Schizosaccharomyces pombe: one gene and its partners. The gene in region 4 interacts genetically with the main gene of each other region. Each region holds a gene or a part of one and is shown on either strand. Other genes may lie near its edges. The genes, in order: med7, mcl1, mub1 and arp6.

Region 1 (5,643 bases), on a different chromosome or scaffold from region 4:
TGGTGGTATCGTGTTGGAAGTGCTTGCACCATTGCTTGAGTTTTAATTGTAGTTGAAGTCGCGCGCCCTTTGTATGGGCCATAAAATATAGCCTTTGATTTACTGAAAGGTTATCTCGAAAACGATCAAAATACATCTAATTACCCTATACAAATGAGCACTTAATTCTTGGCATCTGAGAATATCTGGGGTTGATTGTCATGAATATTTCTTTGACCAATTTAAAAACACCCATGCCAATACAGCAAGAATTCTCTTTTTGTTTCACACTTTATTTAATAGTTGATGTTTGCAACTTTTAATATTTATTTTTCTTGATGGTTTTTTGTTTATTACTTTTTCACTGTGAAGATATTTTAATAGTATAATCCAAAATAATTTTGGTTTTCGTTATCTGCTGATGAAGTAGATTTTGGCATTATAGAGAAATTAATTTTCTGCTCTTACTAGTTCACATTTCATATTCACTAGTTTAAGAATACAAGTTTCAATTGACGAAGTGGTCTCTGTCTTTTTCTTACTTAGGCATTGGTTAAAGTAAATTTATAACCCCTTTTGTAATATTGCTAACATATGTGGAAAGGCACCTTTACTCCTCTATACTTGATCTTCAATTGATTTGCTTGGTGGGTTAGGTGAATACTACATATGAAGCATGGAGGCACAATAAATTATCGTTTGATTTTTCATGCGCGTTAACTAATTAATATGGAAATTACAAAATAATAAATCTGATGGTCTTCTCAAGGTGGAGCATTTGTAGAGCACTACTTAGTGTTGGTTCCTCACTGTCCATTCACCACAACAGGTAGAAATTTTTTGGCGAGCTTAAGATTATCGAATATGGAGGATTATGGTTCATATAGTACACCATTGACAGCAAGATATGCTTCTGCTGAAATGTCTCATCTCTTTTCAAGAGAAATGCGTATTAATACTTGGAGACAATTGTGGTTGAATCTCGCCATTGCTGAAAAGCAACTCGGTTTAACTCAAATTACTGATGAAGCTATTGAGCAACTTAAAGCGCATGTCAAAATTACAGCTCCAGAATTTGAAATCGCTGCTAAGGAAGAGAAGCGTCAGAGACACGATGTTATGGCTCACATCTATACATATGGTCTTGCTGCTCCTGCTGCTTCTGGTATTATTCATTTGGGTGCTACTAGCTGTTTTGTAACCGATAATGCTGACTTGATTTTCTTACGCAGCGCCATGGATCTTTTGATCCCTAAGTTAGTCAACGTTATCAATCGTCTTAGCCAGTGGTCTTTGCGATACAAAGACATTCCTACTCTTGGGTTTACACATTATCAACCAGCTCAATTAACTACCGTTGGTAAGCGTGCCACTCTTTGGATTCAAGAGCTTTTATGGGATTTGAGAAATTTTGTAAGAGCTAGAAATGACATTGGTTTCCGTGGTGTCAAGGGTACCACCGGCACTCAGGCTTCCTTCTTAGCCCTTTTTGAGGGCGATCATGCCAAGGTTGAGGAATTGGATAAATTGGTTGCCAAGCTTTCCGGTTTTGATAACGTTTATCCTGTAACCGGCCAAACCTATGATCGTAAGATCGATATTGACGTTTTGCAACCATTAGCTTCTTTCGGTGCTACTGCTCATAAGATTGCAACTGATATCCGTCTCCTTGCTAATTTGAAAGAAGTAGAAGAGCCATTTGAGGCTGGTCAAATTGGCAGTTCTGCTATGGCTTACAAGCGTAATCCAATGCGTTGTGAACGTATTTGTTCTCAAGCTCGTTATATTATGAACTTGATTCCTAATGCTCTTAATACTGCTTCTGTTCAATGGTTTGAGCGTACTTTGGATGATAGCTCTAACCGTCGTTCTCTGTTACCTGAAGCCTTCTTGTTTACAGATAGCGTTCTTAAGATTCTATTGAACGTTATTTCTGGTATGGTCATTTATCCTAAGGTTATTCAAAAACACATTCGTGCTGAATTGCCCTTCATGGCCACTGAAAACATTATCATGGCTATGACTAAGCACGGTGCTAGTCGTCATGAGTGTCACGAGCAGATTCGTGTCTTGTCTCATCAAGCTGGCCGAGTAGTCAAGGAAGAGGGAGGGGATAACGACTTAATTGAGCGTATTAAGAATACTCCTTATTTTGCTCCTATTTATGATGAGCTAGATTCTTTGTTGGATGCATCCACTTTTGTTGGACGTGCTCCCGAGCAGACTGAATCCTTTGTAAATAAGGACGTCTCTCAAGCGCTTGCGCCTTTCAAGAGCATGATCACTGAGGAAAAGGTTGATCTTGCCGTTTAAATATAAATTTTGGTTTGCTTCGTAGTGGATACGAACTTTTTTGATTTGTTTAAAATAGAAAGAATACATTTTTTTCATCGTTAGTATGAATTTTTGTTTGTAAAACAAATATTAAAAGCAGAGGAAATAGCAAAATAACTCTACTAGATAAACCGGTTTATTAGCTAAGATCTCGTTTTATCACGTCTTCCATTAATTCAAGCGATTTTTTTAATTTCTCGTCATTTTTTGAGAACATAGACCTAGACTTTTGCTCATCTTCAGCGCCTGACAATGGCTTTTTTATTGACGACTTTAATTGTTGAATCACATCTCCTTCCTTCTCCATATTAAAATCTAATGATTTGTACTTTTCCAAAGTTTCGGTCATTTGCCGGTTATGAGTACGTAATAGCTCAACCTGCGACTCTTCATGTTTTAATTGTTTTTCTAAAAGCATAATTAAAGATTCACGAGATTGGTGTGGACGATAGTCATTAATTAAATGATGGAGATTGAGCAGCAACACCCTAATGTTTTCAACCTTAGAAGGAAACTGTTCGGGTGCCTTCGCCATAATCCCTAGGAGTTCAAGAAAGTTAAGCATAAGTGAGCGGGATAAAAATCGTAGTTCATAAGCTCGCCGGGGAATTTTTATCAAATCACTCGTTTCTCCATCCTTTGATTTTTGATCTGCCCGGAAACCTTCGTTTACCGAAGAAGCTGAAACAGCTCCAGTATCTTGAGAATCTAAAGGTTCCTTCATTTGTATATCCTCCTCTTCCTTTTTAAGAGAGGGCTCAGTCTTTTCCTCGACATCTTTCATTGTCTTATCAGATTCATTATCTTTTTCTTTCATGGCCGTATGTTGATCATCCTCCAGAATTTTTTCATTTTCAATTGGTGAATTTTTATCATAATCGTGTACACGAGTAAAACTAGTACCAACTATCGCATTGGATTTAGGATCATATTCTACCACTTCAATTTCATCTTCTCCATCTTTTATATCTTTATATAATTCAGGGATTCCAAATTCTTTGAGTGAAGGTATAGCTTCGTCTAGCTATAAGCGATATAAGTTAGTGAGAGATGAAAAGCAGCTAATGTAAAACAATAAAAATAAACTTACCCTCCATGTGTCACCAAACATTTGATAAGTCCCAGATGTGAGACATGACGGCTTCTTAAACAGCTTGGCCAGCGACTCTATTTCTTCTTCAGTCTTAGGTTGTAAAGTATTCGCGTCATCCTCATGTTTTGCTTCTTTCTCCATATTTGAAATTACTTTTTCTATGTTTTCTCTTGTAAATAACTTATAATATGGAGGTGGAGGCGGAAAAGCCGAAAACAGTTGTACTCCTTCGTTTGGTTCCATTCTCTTTTAGTTAAATAGTATTTATCGTAAACTAGATTTTAGATTGATGTAACTGTCTTCCCTTTTATCGCTGATTCTTAGTATAAAAATGCCTGCTCTTTTTTTTTCTTTTTTTTTTTAGAAAAGCAGTTTCTATAATGTTAAGAAAACCGTAATTGAACAACGATATGACGCTCAATAACTGATTGACATGAAAATCCTGAATATAAAAACACTTGAAAATAACCGATCTTTTGCTCAAAATGGATTTTGGAATAGTCAGTAAAAGTGGGTAGTTTTATCTGGCATATGGAATACGAAGTGAAAGCTTCTATCACCAATAAATTTTGCTATAAATTGTTTATTTCGATATCTTTAATCATTCTTGGTTTTAAATTAGTTTCACTGATTAAAGTAGCTTAAAATTATACACTTCTTGGCTTTTTTAATTTTTAGAGAATTGCAGTGTTTCTTTTAACAACACTGAATTATTCTTTTTAATAAATGGGCTTGGAAACGAATTAAGTAGGAGTTTATTACTTGTAATATTACAGCTTATCGCTATTGTTGAATGCCATAAAATCCTTAACATGAATATTTTACTAGGCCAACATAATCGTAAAATTTAAATTGATTAAGTGATAAAGTATTTTGATATTCCTCTATACGAAGGATTAGTTAGTATTGAATGGATTACAAAATCAACACATGCAATACTACGAACTTTTACATTTTCATAAATTTGTCACATAACCGTAGTAAACATATTTGTTATAACTGTTTCTTTTTAGTAATTAACTAATTTATCCATTGCTAGTGATTGTCTGCAAATTTTCGCTGCTACGGTTTGATACAGTCATCAGATACATCAAAGAAATTCAACGATAATTGATATTTGTTCAATTTTGTAAAGAAAATTAAATAAATAGCACCATATCATGATAATACCAGTTACGATAAATTGGATAAGATGCCTGGCAATATAACAATAACAAACCAATTGTTCAAACGATGACTTTTTGTAATTTCCTGCAACTAAACTAACAGTTTCGTAGCAATTAAAACAAAAACATCATTCAAATAATATACATTCACAATGCTCTATATTACTTCAGATGTCCTCGCTCCAGTTTTCCAAAGAGAAGGATAATCTGAAAAATAGTAGATGACTAGACTTTTATTTTTCGGCAGACTCAGAAATGGCTGGAGGAGCAGATTCGCCAAAGTTGTGCAGTCTCGTACCAACTAAGTATAAATCATCACGTATTCCTTGCGACCATTTACTACTAGTTTCTACAAAACGGCGCCCCAAGAGTGCTAGCCCAAGTAATGCTAAAAATATAGGATGCATCAACCGATACATAAGGGTTTTAGATGCAGAAGGGAAAATGGATGAAAGAAAAGGATAGGTTACGTAAGTAAAAACACTTGGCAACACAACGGCGGCTATTAAGGCTGATGTAAAAGGGATGAGAACATTTTTTAATAATGGAAGAATTTGAGGATTCGTCCATCTATCACGAAAAGCATCTTGAAACAACCTTGAAACGAAACGCTCTTCATTAGAAGTCACAGTAAAATATATCATACGAAGCATAAAAAGACCAATCACCCAGTTTTGGAATGCATCGAGAGCAAGAGTCCCTCTGTTAAATATCGTTCGGAAAGGTATAGCGACGTATAATTCCCATATAGCTCCAAGTAAGAGTGGTAAGATAAATATTCCAAGGAATGCTAATAAAAGATATTTTAACGCCATTACTAAGCTCCTCATAACAATTTTTAAATTTAGTTTATTCATAAGGCTTCGTAAATAGTCAAGTTTCAGAAACTTAACAGACGCGTGAATTGCATACATTGGAAAAGAAATAGAGTAAAATCCAATGGCGTAAGCATAAAAATCGTGCTTTACCACATTAGGAAAGCACCAAGCATAAATAGCTCTTCCTAATGAAAGTGGAACAAACACTAACAATACTGTCACAAGTGTTGAGCATATCCAACAAAATAACAAC
Region 2 (4,982 bases), on a different chromosome or scaffold from region 4:
CTTTTCAATTTCTCATTTTTGGAAGTAACCCAGCTGTTTTCTGACTGGTCTTTTCTACTAGCACCCAACCCTAACCGTGGCGGCCTAGCTTGTAACGGTGGATCGTCATTTTTTTCATCGCTACTGACAGATGTATTTTCGTTTCCCAACCACGAATTGATTAAGTTTTTTGTGATGCTTATGGATGTTTGATATTTATTCAATAACACATCCGCACTCACTTTTTGTTCCATGCTAAAATTGTGTTTTCGTTTGCAGCTTGGCACTTTACAAAGTTGTACTGCACTTAGTGTCTGCAACTTTACGAACTGTAACGCACCCTAAGGCACTGAGCTTTGCAGTTTCTACATTAGATTTTATTTCATTTCAGAAAGGAAAAGAATACAAATTCCTTTGTGACTCTTTGTCATTTTAAAAAATGTTTCCACCTTTTCTTATGAATCAATTTTTTGTACCCCTGTGCAATTTCTAAATAGACTCGAAATATATGCCGAATATACTGACATATAAACATAGAGGTTATATGGTAAACAAAATGAAATGTGTTTATTAAATACAAAAATGAGAAAAAAATCAAAGTGCTAGATGCTTATATAAATGAATTTAGAAAGGAGCAAGATCGTGACAAAACTTCTGCATAGCTTTGCTTCAAACCCCTTTTGATTAGCTCAAGCTACTAATATGCAAAAAATAATGTTACATAAAAATTAAGACGTGAGGGTTTAGACGTTAGATAGTAGATTACCAATTTTTTCAGCAACATTTGTAAGGGAATGGTGGAGCGCAATCTTTTGAGCAGCAGCAATACTTGTTGTCCTTCTCAAAGTTTTTGTCAATTCATAGACACGTTCGATTCTTTCCTCGAGACAAGCCTTTTGAATAAGTTGCAACAAGGCTTTGTCAATGTTAGCTTCTAGTCTAGCAATGCTTATTTTTTCGTCCTCCGTAACATCGCCATCTCCTATGCTATCTTCCAATAAAGTCAAAAATAGTTTATTACGGAGTTGTAGTTCTTCTAAAACAGGAACAGATGTAGAAGCATCCGGATTGTTCGTATTACAAGGAATACGAAAGTCAAATTCTGTAAACATCGGACGAGGGAAATAGGGATATCGAGAGGCTCCTTTTAGCAATATACAGTGAAACTGATTATCGGCAACAGTTACAGGCCAATAAGACTCTTGCCGTGATTTGCGACGCTCCAATTCATTTGTATCTAAAACAGGGATCCACTTGGCTTGTCCTGGTATGCGCCAATGCATTAATACCAACAATACCCCAGTTGAATCGTAGATGTAAGGATCTCCAACATCCGAAAAGAAAACACTCTCTAACGTTCCTTGGGGTGGTAATGCAACCCCATCACCAGTTTGCAACATTTCATCACGAGAAATGTCTTCAATGGAATAAACAAGACGAGAATTTCCATCAGAGCTCAAACCATCGTTGGCGATGGTTATAATCGTATCCTGAAAAGATGAACAAGCTACAAATGGCAAGTGTTTACTCCTGTGAATGCTAATTGGAAAGCCTTGTCTTGAGAATACGCGAACATATCCAGCACTCGTACATACCAGTACAACGCTTGAGCTTAATGAAATTGTCACAGGACTTTCATTCTCCATGGGTAAAGCCATTGCCCATTCAGATTTACGCGACCAATCAACATGTGCTTTATAATAAATAACACCAGGTGAACTTTCCGTTGCAGGCGAAGCATACAAAGCACCTTCATGATCTAAGCATGCCATTTCAAATTTTTGGTCATCAACAAAGTGATATTTTCTATGAGTAGTTTCATCATGAAATTCAACCGTTATAGTGTTGTGTTCTGCATCTTGCTGTACAGTCCAGATAAACCCTACCAAGTTCAAACATAGATATCTTCTATTACCCTGCCATGGTGTACTTCCAGTATGAACGGGTTTATGTATTGAGGCTTGCAGTAAACGTCTTTTACTAGAACCATTCTCTATTGTTGTAGTTCTGTCGATCAACGCCTTCTGCTTTCTTTTCTTTGCAAGGTTTAAGTCGTTTTCATCAACCATATAACTATCACCATCTAGGTCCAAAGATGAATCCAATCCATCATGATTGATAAACTCATTTTCCTCGTTGGCAGAGTTCCCATCCAAATCATTGACGTTCTGACTTTGCTCATCGTCAGAACCAAAAAGATCATCAAGCTCTTTGGAAGTACGGTTTTTACTTTTTGACGAAGTCAAAGGCTTCGTAGGATCATTTTCTTCCTTCAATATTGATTTAGGAATGACATCCGGACATGAATACAAAATTCCCTGATTTGTAGTAAATGATAACACGTTTTCAAATGGCTGCCAGGCGAGTGCCACCACTGTACTATAGGGGAGCTCAACGACTACTTCATGACTTTGTGTATCCCAAATTAAAATGCCTCCTTTTTTAAATGAAGCAGCTATGTACATTCCATTACTGGACCAGGAGATATCTGTTACACCAGAATGATTCTCTTTTGGAAGAAGTTTGTACAATGGAAGCCAGTCATCAGGGGAAATAACTGATACAAAATGGTCGGTACTCGCAACTGCAAATGTCCCGTTTTTAGGATGCCAAGCCGCCTTTGAGCAAATTTCTGATTCTGCCTCTAAAGAGGCAATAGTGTTTGTTAAGAACTTGATGAGTTCACGAGTTTGGGTGTCATAAAAATACAAAATTCCATTGCAACTGGAAACTGCTAAAAAATTTCCGTTCGGGCTATAAGTTACATGTTTATTCGAAGCCTTAGCTGGACGAAGAGAGAAAATTTGTGAAGAATCAGTGGACGAAACCACTTTCACTGCTGTTTCACTATATTTGTTAGGCTGAAAACGACCAAGTAGAGCATTATACACTAAAAAAAACTTACTCACTAGCTATGGCAATCCAATTTCCATCTACTGAATATGCCACATCGCGAATAGGAAGAGTAGTACGCGCCAGCAATGTATGCTCGGTAGGAGAATCGATGGGATATACGCAGACAGTTGCATCTTCTGAACAAGTACAAAAATAATTTTCCTATATAAAAGTCATTAGCTCCAAACTTTTTTGAGGACCACTTACAGCAACTGCAATTCCTGTTATAGGATCTTGATGATTATCAATGGAGTCGGGTTCCTCATCAGAACCAACCTGAAATTTTCGGATTACTTGATTAGAACCGACCGTAAGAAGAAATTTCCCATCACGAGTATACGCTAGACGCGTCAGTCCATCTGTATGGGCATATCTAGGAACTAGCCTATTCCCTGCCATAATAGCTAGAGGAAGAGTTTGTATATGAGATTGGGACTAGTATGGCAATAGCGATACTTTCGTTAGCTAGTTACGCTATTTAATGTAAACAAACATTTAAATAAAAAATCTACCACGAAAGCACTATTGAGAAATTGCAAATGTTTGTCTACAATTTATTTTCATATGCAAGTACGATTGAAAATATGCAATCCATGCTTTTAATCATCTGCTAACAATTAGAAATTAATACTAAAGTAACTTATATGTGAGACTATAGGAATAATTTAACTTTAATCATTTCAGAGCTTTTTTTAATTACTCTGAAGTTGTATTTGATGTTCCATTAGAGCAGTTCTGTTAAAAAGTTTTGAAATGTCTGCTATAAATGTTCAAACAGCCGCACAGCAATATTCTAAATGGAGGAAAAATATGCAATTAGCTATTGTCTTTTAGTATTTTAATTAATGCTTACCATGACAAGCTATAAAACAGAATCTGCAGATAAGTCATGCTTGATTAAACCACAAAAAATCAACGACATGGAAATGGAATTGAGAAACCTAGTGGAGCCTCTCACAGGAAAATTAAAAAGAAGTTAAATAAATTAATCATACAATTAGATTTCGATCATTCATTTAATACTCGCAGTAATTATATGTATGTATTTTTTCAAAAAGTAATATGAAAATCGTTTTTGCACATCGTTAAAGTTTTATTCTGTATTAGAGTGATACACTATAAATGTTAACGCTGCTTTAACGACGCACAAAATACAGGCTATTGGCATACTCTAGGTTGTGAAATCTTTGCTTTTTTGTAGTTACGTCTGCCAAACAATTTACCATTCCAAGCAAGATTGGTAATCTGCTTGATCATGTCACAGTATGCTGTAGAACTGTGTGAGATTCTCGTAGAGGAATTTTTCGGTGATTGTTGCTCGGTAAGGATTCAATTGTATTTCTAAATCTGAAGTTGAGGTTGCAAAGTCTTTTGTATTAACCAATTTATTGTCAATTTAGGCAGTAGCTAGTGCACTTTTGAGGCATGGTCGTTTAACGATTCCCATGCTACAAAAACGGACTTCGTTGCCAGGACCAAAAATTCGACAAGCACTTGTCAGTTTAATGCAGCATCATATGGTTTTGTACGTTACGGTCATTGAAAATGTACGTGAAGTCACATATTATGAGACCCAATGGAAGGAAATTTATAACATTCTTCGCAAAGGTAAAGATGTATATTTGATATCTCAAAAATTAAACCAGGAGGCTGCCTCTGTGGTAAAATATCTTAGTACCCAAGGACGTGCACGTGTACTCGAAGTATTCAATGCTTTCGATAAAAAGGTTGATGGGAGTGATGAAGAAAGCCGTATGATGCAGAAAAATCTAACGGAATTGATTTACCAAAAGTTTTTGCTAGTAGTGCAACCGAGACATTTAATACCAGTAGGAGATCAGGAAATGCAACTCCGGATCAAGCACTTAGATCGCAGAAAGTCAGAAAACGTGTCTGAAATAAAAAAAAATAGAGAGGTTGATGATTCTGTCGCCTTGGAAATGTTAGAGCTTCGTGCAGCAGATATGTCAGAACTACAAGGACTTACCAGGAAGCCAAAGGAATCAATACCACATCCAACAAAAAGAAGGAAACGTGCTGTTGGCTCTGCTCCGTCTGTATCAACGGATTTGAATAATATATTAGACGATGATAATAGCATCCTTGTA
Region 3 (5,688 bases), on a different chromosome or scaffold from region 4:
GGAAGAGATTTGAGATCTCTGATAAGAGTATCAAGGCTTTCAGGAATGGCATCAGATGGAGTAGTATCTTCAAGGTTATAAACGATCAATGCCAAGTCATAAAAAGCCTGAGTGGTGTCTTCTAAACGGCTTGCCAATGATTTCATTTCATCAGTCATGTCATCTTGGGGCAGCATTTCGAAAACCAAAGATAAAAATAGGTTTAAAGATCAATTTAATGCAGCACAAGTGCACTGAATACAGCAGCCTTCAATTTATTGCTGTCTCAACTGTATAATGGTTATGCTTAAACTACGGTACTTCTTCCAGTTCACTATTTGCAAGTGAGTTGGTTTAATTTTATAGTAATAAGCAAATTACAAAGTCTGTTCTACTAATAGAGAAATACTGAATTCATTATAATATTGATTCCTCCTAAATGTTCTATAAATATTAGCGTCAACAGACAAGATAACTTGAAATAATACTTTCGTTTAGTCAATTTAGCGAAAGCATCATTAGTACGATCTATTTCTTGACTTCCAGGTATACAAGTACAAAAAGCTTTAGCCTTCATGCAATATCACATCGTATTGCTTTAGCCCTGTTCATAGGTTTAACTATTCCGAAAAAGCTATGTATAATTTTTGACTAATTTATTAATAAGTAACCAAGTCAAACAAAAACAAGTTGAAAAGAAAAAAGTTTATTATTTTAAGTAAAAGCATTTAAGTTACGAGAAAAAACGATAAGCAACAGAAGGACAGTCGGAAAAGAAACTCGAAGTTTTAATAAATTAGGACAGTGGCCTCCACACCTTCGTACCTCCCTGTAGGTTTCAAAAGCTTTCATGATTATTGCCCTGCTAAAACCACACGATATCCATAATAAGAAGAACAAATCTGAATGTATCGGCAATTAATTGCATAAAAAAAGGTTAAACGATTAACTTAATTGCGAGTAAAGAGTTAGCTGAAATTCATATTCTTCACGGCACATGAAATAATAATTGATGGCAAAGGGAATTAAGGAATGAATTCAAAACGTAGTATTGAATGCCGGAAAAATGATTAAAAGAATATGTGTGACCTCCAACTGTAAGTCTATTTGAAGCGTAAGCATACCTAGTAAGAAATGGATAGAAATTGTCATTAAACTGTCATTAGTACTACAATCTGCTATCACTCTGAGTGCTTGAAGTTACAGATTCTGTTCCAACAGGAATAACAGATGCAGCCGGGGATGCTGTTGATTCGCTTTCAGTGACTGAGTTTATTTTTGAGCTCTCTCGTTTGGAATTCCTGCCATCTTTATGAATTACGCGACACCATCGACTATGTCCCGGCCATGCTTGATGCTGGCATTCTTTACTGCAATATTTTGTACGTCGGCATCTTCTGCATTTAGCAAATTGACGACTGTGCTCTTCCCATTTGTTACATAACAAATTGGCGCATCGACGTATACCACCATGACTTTCATCTTTCCGACAGTAATTATTCATGATAGCTCTGGCCCAGTATTGAACTTGTGGGGGGTAGAATTTCAAGGTGAACTGCTCGACTAACTGAAAAATATTCCACGTTTTACTGCCGCTACGTAAGGGCGACATACGTAAACTTGGAACATCTTTAGAAGACTCGAAGTAAGGACGCATATGGAAATAGTTTTTACTAGTATAAGCAAGAATTTGCAAACCAAAAAGTATATCTTCTTCACGAGGGAGTTTATTAATCTTCTTATCAAAGTTGTCAAAGAATGAGGCAATCCCGTGATAATCAACTACATTTTCGGGCCTGCGGCCATCTAATAACGCAGATGTAGAAGGAACACCAGGTAAAAGTTGATTACGACGCTGACGATTATTCAAGGCCTGTGATTGAACATTATTTAAAGACAATTGCACATCCCGTGATGAATCCTGAGTAGTAGTCATAATATTAAGCGGAGTTGGAAAGAAAAAATTTGGAGAGTCTATCTCGTCATTAATTGTCTCACTAGCAGGGCCTGTTTGACGAGAGTATGAAGGAGAAGAAGGGGTAGTCATGTTATAATTAACATTTTCAGTAGAAGTAGGAGTAGAGGGTGCAGCTGATGAAATTCTTTGAATGGTTAATGGAGAGTTTGCTTGAACACGAGGATCTTGAAATGAATCATTTGAATAAATGGAGCCGGAGGATCGATCATGACTAGTGGTAGAGCTTGATCCCAATAAATCACGATTCACGGAATGTCGAAACGTAGATTGATTTGGAAGTTGGACATCTCCACTATCCCGTAAATCCACCGAATAAACTCTTCTAGAGCTAGAGCTTGCCGTACTAGCTCCAAATGGAGATGGTACATCACCGTTGACGAACAAAGAGTCAGCAGATGAATTGTGTTGAGACACAGAATCAAGAGAATTGCTAATATTAGAATTAATGGGGAATGGAGCAGATGCGGATGATGGAGGAGGGGTAGTAGAAGGTGTAAGGGAAAATTGAAATCGAGAATGGTGAGAAACAACGGACTCAAGCGCAAACAAAAAATCATCTAAAAGGGTGACAACAATAGGAACGATACCAGCTTCCACAACACGAATTCGAATAGCTTCAGACCCACGTATCCCAACATTTACGACACACTGAAGAGCTAGCTGCCATATTGTCATTCGGGCAAATGTTTGTCCACGTCCGGCACGTAAAATATTCATTAAACGCATCAAACCACCATCCATAGTAAGGATCTCACGAATTTTCGGTGAAGTCGAAGTCAAATAAACGAGATGGCTTAATGAATTCATTAATGACATTTCGGAGTCACAGTCAAGCGCACGTCGATCATAAAGGACTGTATTGATAGTGACAGAAGCTTTGTTATTCCATACGATGCTAACGTTCGATTCCCTCATCTTTCTTTAATAATATATTTAACACGTATAAAGTTTTTTAAAGACAATTGCTGCAGTATAAATTACTGGCAAACGCAAAGATTGGCGTAAAACGAACGATGTGATAATATTTTTTTTAGTTAAAGACAAGCAGTTTTCGAATACCAAAATTTTACTCAATAATTTTCAAAACTGCTGTGTGTAAACGCAATAACCGAAGAGAAAAACCAAGAACAAACGCCGATAGCAGGAAGAATAAGTAGTGCCCCAAAATCACGAAAACGAAAAAAAATAAAAATTACTGTTTTCGCAGATTTTAAGTCCCGCCGAATTTGAAATCCTTTTAAGCAATCTACACCAATTATTCTTCAAAACGAGTAAACGTAAAAGGGACTACGGTTAGCTCAAGCTTGAAGTCAAGAACTGATAAAGGAGCAAAAAAAATACTAAAAGAAAAAGGAAGTAAGGAGCAAGGGCACTTTTTTAGCCGAGAAGCGACACAGATCAAGTAAGTTCAACAATAGGAAGTATAACAACGAAAAAGTTGTAACCCGGGGTCTGCTAAAATCACGAGGCTAAAGAAAGAGAGAAGTGGCAAACAAAAAAAACCCGAGATTAACGAAGATACAAAGAGAGAATGAATAAGAATAGTTTGATGAAAACCACAATAACCTTGAAAATAAAAATAAAGGATATGCTCAGTACCTTTTTAGACAAGATTAGTGGAAAATCAAATCACAGCTGACAAGAGTAAGAGAAGAGAGAATAGCACAAGATGATTTGCATCAATTAAAAAAGTAAAGTTCGAAGAAAAATGTTAGGATTTGGAAAAGGAAAACGGTGGTGAAGCTAAATCAGCCTTGTTGATAAACAAAGAATAAGTGTTTTCTTATAATCGCAAGGATTTAGCTTAAAAACCACAGTAAATAGTTTTTGCAAGTCCCTTAATTTTAATTGAATGAATTCTTTTTACGAAAATTTCCCGGATCCTCGTTCTCTTATTCAGATTCTTGGAAGTGGCAGTTGACAGAAGGCAACTTCATTTCACCCGAGTGTCAACCGAGTTTGAAAACGATCGTCAGTGAACGTACCTTTAAGGCACCATAACGCAAAGTATGCTGGGTTGTTACTGGCTATAATGGTTGGGAACTCTCGGCGATCTTTGATGCTGGATGTTACCTTTGAAGAGATCGACATCTCGGCAACAATAACTCAAAAAACTTGCTGCAACTTTAACTAGCAACAGTTGGTATTTCTTTCACTATAGTCAGTCATTTTTTATTCATACGAACATCTTTGTGTCTTTAAGTTTTTAGCAGAATCTGTGTATGAATTTTTTCTTTTAAGTCAAAATGTTGCCTAATACGTTGGTCGCATAAGCCGATTTTTGTATTCTGTAAATTCACTTTAGCAGAACATTTGGGTAAACCGGTCCGAATAAGCTGTCAGTGCTGAAAATAACCAATGTCAGATTTTGTAATCTCATTTGATTGACAAGTTCATCAGATCAGCACAACTCCAAACCAGCCGCTTCTTTACCTGTGAGTCCTGCCACTTTGAGTAACAAAACTAAAATTAGTCGCACTGGTAGATACTCGATCGTATGTCAATGGGGCAAGGTAAAGAACAATCAATTTATAAATATAAATATGTACATATTAAATATATTTTGGATTGGATTTTTCATTTTATTGTATTTTAATGTGTTATTTACGAATTGCGTTGGATTCTTCAAAATTGTCATGTTTACAACTTTCTCATTTCTACAAGTGTGATTCCCTCAACATAATATCCATAAATTTTTCGCTTATCTTGCTTAGTAAGTAAACTCAGATCGAAACTCAAGGTTAATAATACTAATATGGATTGCTTGTCTTATTTCTACGCGCCATTCCGGCCTTTCAAATGCAAAAACAGTTATTTTATTATTATCCGAACAGTCCAAAGCGCTGAATATCCTCAACTTCGTAACAACGTCCATTTACATGACCCATTGCCTCGTAAACAATTAATTACTAATATTTTACACGATTACTAAATATTAAACTGATAGCGCCAATAAATGTCATATGTAATCTAGGCCTCCAGCTTCTTTTTAGCCATTTCCTCTTTCCATTTTCGCGAAAGTTCGAGCATTTTGCGCATCTTATCTCCTTGATCAGTCGCCGTATCCGGAAACAGATAGTCCAAATATTCTTCGAATGAACCGTCTTCAAGTCTACGGCGTTTCTTAACAACCTGTGGCATTAGTGAAGAGACATGCTTACGTGTATCTTCCGTGCCATGCATTGCCTCAAATTGTTTCCATGCTTCAAGTAATACAACTCGCTCTTCCTTCAAACCCTGCTGGCGTAAATGGGCCAATGCATTTTCAAAAACATTTCGCGCACGCACAACAGCGGTTGGAGAAGCCACTTCTTCATTCGGTGGTTCTTCGTCATCGTCCTCCAGATGGGCAATTTCAAAGTTTGCAAAACTAATCCAAACTTTAACATGAGGTGCAGTCCGTAGTAACTGCTGGTAAATACTTCTAGCTTTTCCGTATTCCATTTCCTCGAATTCAAAATCAATATAAGCCTTCCACACAAGCTCTGGGGTTTCCAAAATAGGCTGGTTTACAGCCAAATTATATAAAGCGCGAGCACGATCACTATCTCCAAGCTTAGTCTCTAAGGCAGCGTAACCAAGCCAGGGAGCACAAGCCTCGGGATCATAAAGAATCCATTTTTCATAAAGAATTCGACACCTGTCAAACTGCTTAATTGCGTCTTCGAATTCAATATAACCTCGGAATAATTTTGGTTTTGGACACATTCCCAACGCACGACCCAACGTTT
Region 4 (4,273 bases):
AGGCTTTACTGTTGAAAATGTGAGGGAAAATATATGTAGCCCATGAACAAGGCTCAACAGAAATAATTTGGGATCTCGATTCTTCTTATTACACAGTTTTCCTTTACTGAATTATATGATTAACTTGAGAAAAAGAACAATTTATCCAACAGAAGCAACAAAATTTCACGAAAAGCTCTTTCTATCCAAAATGTAAACAGACGCGACACGACTACATTGCAACGCAACGCGCTACATTCTAATTAAAGTAGTATACCGTGACTGCTCTAACTCAAGGTTGCTTTAACTCTTATACTGTCAACCTGAAACTGCACTGTACATATAAAATGCACTTGAAACAGTAGTGAAGAAGTGCTGAAATTTTTCTTTTTTTTCAATCTTGTTTTTCAGGCACATTAATAATATGTAAGTATAAACACTTGAAGAGATAGAATGTTACATATGATGCTTTACAAATCGATTAGTCTTGAAGACACAACTATGTGGTTAAATTTTTATACTTGTATACTGATTTTCATTCCTATCTTTTTTATAATATCTTTCATTTCGCTAACGCTTTTTAGGTATGAATTATCCTGGCGACAATAATAAAGATATAGTTATTTAGCTGTTGTTTTAGTGGTTGATCAAGAGATAGAATGATTCGTTAATTAATATAAAAAGATTTTATTCTTAATGCATGCATATTTTTCGTTTTATATTGCTGTAGCCTTAATGTAATAAACCAATTTCTTAAGATGCGAATTATCAGCTCGCCTTGAGAATTTTGTGAAGATAGAAATTTAACCCACATTATTGAGTTTTAAAATGGTGATCTATTATATTCTCCTTTTTCGTGTCATTATGTTTGCTCCATGTTCTGAGTACTCAGAACGAGTTATTTTATTCGCATTCCAGTGCTCCAACGGCATATGAGATGCCTTTTTCCATGGAAAGCAAATAGGATCTGAAGGTTCAAAAACTTTAACTTCCCAATTAGCTGGTGCCAGCGACCGTAATTCAGATGATAGTCTTTTATGAAATCCGGGAAATTTACAGTTTCCTCCTATTGTAACAACATTTTCAAGCAACATTGCCTGTATATTTTCAGGAAAGTGGGTGACACTTTGCATGACCGCCTCTGGAATCCCAGCCTCACGTATTTCGATATCAGATGGGGAAAATAATAATTCTGGTATCATGAATCTCTCATTTGAAAGATTCAAAACTTGTTGCTCTATTTTTTGATTAATATCTCTAACAATATATCCATGTTTTCCAGTGCTGTAATCGGGCAAAGCATAACAAATTTCCAATTTTGACCGTGGTTTTTCGTGACATATCTCCATGTCCTCCTTGAAGTTTTGAGACACATAACAAACGGACTCTTTAATTTCATTAACAATGTATGTTTCTTCCATCATATTGTACTTCCGGTATGAGATGACTTCTTTTAAATAATTCGTAAGTAATTTCCCTCCCACATCAACTCGCTTTACCGCTTGTTCTTGAACAGAGAAATCAATCACAGGAATTATGTGTGTAAAGCTATATCCAGAGTCAATTACCAAAACGCATTCTCCATGTTGACCAGTATACGCATCTTCTTGATTCATTGTGAAACTTCCATGATCCCAAGGAATTAGCTCAGCTGGGGTGCAAGGGAGGTAAGCATCGAATTGGAATTCCTCAAACACGAGTTGTATAGTATTGTGTTCTATGGAAGGCATTGTAAATACGGGCTGTGTAAGCAGTAAAGAATAGTCTGCCATGCTAGGTTCCATCACACCTACATTGCGCATTACCAAGTCCCATACGGCTGTTTCTGTGCTCCAATGGACCAAATACCCCTACTAGTATTAGTAAACATAATCTTTGTATTTATTTTGTTCGTAAATAATACTCCCTCATAAATGCTGTACCTTTTCATGCGCCCTGCGAAATTGTAAAGTTGTAAAGTCGTTACAGTTGGCCAATTCATTCCCCAAAAATAATCTGTTTCCATCTTTTGATCTCGTCAAACAATTCGGAATTTCACTAAAAACTATCGTTAGCTGAAAAAAGTAAAAGATACATGAAATTTATTGACGTGATGCACTTCTTCTTACACAACTTTTCCACCTGCAAATCCAGCTTTTATATGGTATGCCCCATTGTCTAAAACAATAGTTTTAGGGGGTAGTCCCATATTATTAATAAAAATGTATTCCTATATCTTAGGTCTTAACTTCACCCAAAAACCGCGATTAAATGTACTGTTGTTACGGCTTTGGAATGCTGTTATATGATAGCGTTGTGCTATAACAACAATATCATTACAGTTTGAAGCAATAGTATAATAACGCTGGCTCTTAAAGATATTTATGATATTTTTAATAATATCATAAATTTGAAGGATATCTTTTTAAAATAACTTTAAAGATAAATCTTGCAAATCTTAGCTTTATCAATATAACAACATCGTTAATGGGGGGCTGTCTATCAAATTTAGTTTGTAAAAGCCGTTTATCATATTATCCAACCCCTAAACTAGCCGTTATCAATTTAGTTAGCTGCTTAATTCAACGTACATCTAATATACCATTCATAAACACCGACTTTCCCTATACTACTAAATCGTGGATACTTAACTTTATGCTTATTTCCTCAAGAAAAATATATTTCTATTTCATTTTCTCATCAACTTGCGTTTGTCAATTCGCATAAAGTAAAAGCAAATGAACTAGTATTAATCGATTTTAAAACTTCTCATATTTATTAACTGGTATATTATGATTTTAAATTTCATTTAATCAATTGGCGTTCCAAAATTCTTATAAAAGAAACACACCTCTGCGTTTGTTTTCACCGAACTGTAAACCGATACAACAATAATTTTCTTAGCCTTCCCTTTAGACAAACCCTCCATCCATTTTTCCCAAGCCATAATTCCGGGTCGTATCTCATTGAAGAAATTATTTTTACAAACCCGTAGAGTTTGATTTCCCATTTAAAAAGAGCCGTTCAAATATGTCAGTTTGGCTTATTACCACTGTGTAGAAAATGCTTGTTTTATATTTTTATATTTTATTACCAAAATTGGACAGGCTTAGAGCGCCAAACAGGCTCATGTTTTATCGGAAGCGACAGCAAGGGTAGAGGGTTTTTCAGTTACCAATCTCTGTAAGGATTGCTGCTCGGATGCTTCCAAATTTTTGACAAGATCTTGTAATGTGACAGGGCTGTTGTCCTTTAAATGAACCATAAACTCTTGGAAAAGTGAAAATGGATCAACTTGATCTAACAAAGTATGGAAAAGAGGATCCTCGTCCAACAAGTAATTTCCTTGGAAATGCTCAAATTCGTCAAAATCGTCAACCACATCAGCCGAGATTTCTCCACCCAAATCAGGTCCCCCATATTCGACGGCAAAGTCATCGACACCCTCATCATCATCGGCTTCCCAATCGATGCCATCATTCCAACCAGAGCCAGATAAATTAAATGTTTCACCGTCATACTCTTTTTCTAATTCCGCGCGAGCAGCTAATGCTTCAGGTAGTGTATTTAAAAGAGTTATCATGACTTTCATTATATTACCCCAAGAGTCTTGGATAGCAACAGCAACTTGTTGAGCTCCCAGTGAAATTACCGATAAAATAGCTACCAAACTCAACTTTTTATCATGCACACGAGTAAACGAAGGTATATTTTCAAACCATAACGCAAAGAATGGTAAAGTCCACTGATGCATTTCAAGTACCCCAAGAGACATCGATGGGTTATAATATAATGCATTGATTATAACCTCCAACAAAAATACGCGGTATGTTTGAGAAGTTGGCTTTTCAGTTACAAGTAAGAGATTACCAGCAACCTCAATAAACGCAGGCACATATTGATCCAAAAGGCCACGATAATTAAGCATTAAAAGTTCGGTTAGTTTACAAGCCGAAACACGGTCATTGACGGCCAGGTGCTCGCTATTAAAAACTTGCATGATAATATCAACCATAACGGCGATATAATCAGGACGGGAAGCAAATTCCTTTCCACCATACGTGATAAAGTTACTTAAGGCAGGAGTTGCCTCCTCTACAAACTCAATGCCAGACTCTTTCAACACCTTTTGAAGCTTTTCATACACGCCCCACATAATAGGGGATATCTCCTTAGAAGCAAAAGTGCAACCATCGATAATTTCAAACAACTCTGCATACACGTCAAAAATGTTGTTATCTAATACAAAATTAATCATTGGAAGTAAGATTGCTTCAATTTCACGTAAGACATCAACCGTGTTCTCGAGACTTAA

What was found.
Region 1: mutations in arp6 (region 4) and med7 together harm fitness more than expected from each alone (negative genetic interaction), as found in Schizosaccharomyces pombe (2 studies listed by BioGRID).
Region 2: mutations in arp6 (region 4) and mcl1 together harm fitness more than expected from each alone (negative genetic interaction), as found in Schizosaccharomyces pombe (2 studies listed by BioGRID).
Region 3: mutations in arp6 (region 4) and mub1 together harm fitness more than expected from each alone (negative genetic interaction), as found in Schizosaccharomyces pombe (2 studies listed by BioGRID).

Annotation. Positions count from the first base shown.
Region 1 is NC_003423.3:4,170,648-4,176,290, reverse strand, and holds med7 (mediator complex subunit Med7), read right to left. Parts: upstream 3,932-5,643; 5' UTR 3,650-3,931; coding exon 3,404-3,649; exon of another isoform or gene 3,338-3,403; coding exon 2,453-3,337; 3' UTR 2,293-2,452; coding exon of another isoform or gene 844-2,292; 3' UTR 503-843; downstream 1-502. Other genes in the region: SPOM_SPBC14F5.10C (ubiquitin-protein ligase E3), read left to right, coding at 1-39; adenylosuccinate lyase Ade8, read left to right, coding at 844-2,292; ubiquitin ligase Doa10, read right to left, coding at 4,806-5,643.
Region 2 is NC_003424.3:3,282,473-3,287,454, forward strand, and holds mcl1 (DNA polymerase alpha accessory factor Mcl1), read right to left. Parts: upstream 3,281-4,982; 5' UTR 3,274-3,280; coding exon 3,082-3,273; exon of another isoform or gene 3,037-3,081; coding exon 2,885-3,036; exon of another isoform or gene 2,827-2,884; coding exon 723-2,826; 3' UTR 532-722; downstream 1-531. Other genes in the region: SPOM_SPAPB1E7.01C (uncharacterized protein), read right to left, coding at 1-233; DNA-directed RNA polymerase III complex subunit Rpc82, read left to right, coding at 4,130-4,195, 4,275-4,982. UniProt on the Schizosaccharomyces pombe protein: Has a role in regulating DNA replication complexes. Acts as a regulator of post DNA replication initiation. Associates with chromatin during G1 and S phases of mitosis. Required for the transcriptional repression of the outer repeats of the centromeric region.
Region 3 is NC_003423.3:3,766,106-3,771,793, forward strand, and holds mub1 (armadillo-type fold protein, zf-MYND type zinc finger protein, Mub1-Rad6-Ubr2 ubiquitin ligase complex Mub1), read right to left. Parts: upstream 3,880-5,688; 5' UTR 2,873-3,879; coding exon 1,148-2,872; 3' UTR 501-1,147; downstream 1-500. Other genes in the region: mediator complex subunit Med10, read right to left, coding at 1-176; protein Cwf4, read right to left, coding at 4,928-5,688.
Region 4 is NC_003421.2:1,209,902-1,214,174, reverse strand, and holds arp6 (Swr1 actin-like protein Arp6), read right to left. Parts: upstream 2,237-4,273; 5' UTR 2,168-2,236; coding exon 2,088-2,167; exon of another isoform or gene 2,017-2,087; coding exon 1,902-2,016; exon of another isoform or gene 1,830-1,901; coding exon 819-1,829; 3' UTR 516-818; downstream 1-515. Other genes in the region: nmd5 (karyopherin), read right to left, coding at 3,086-4,273.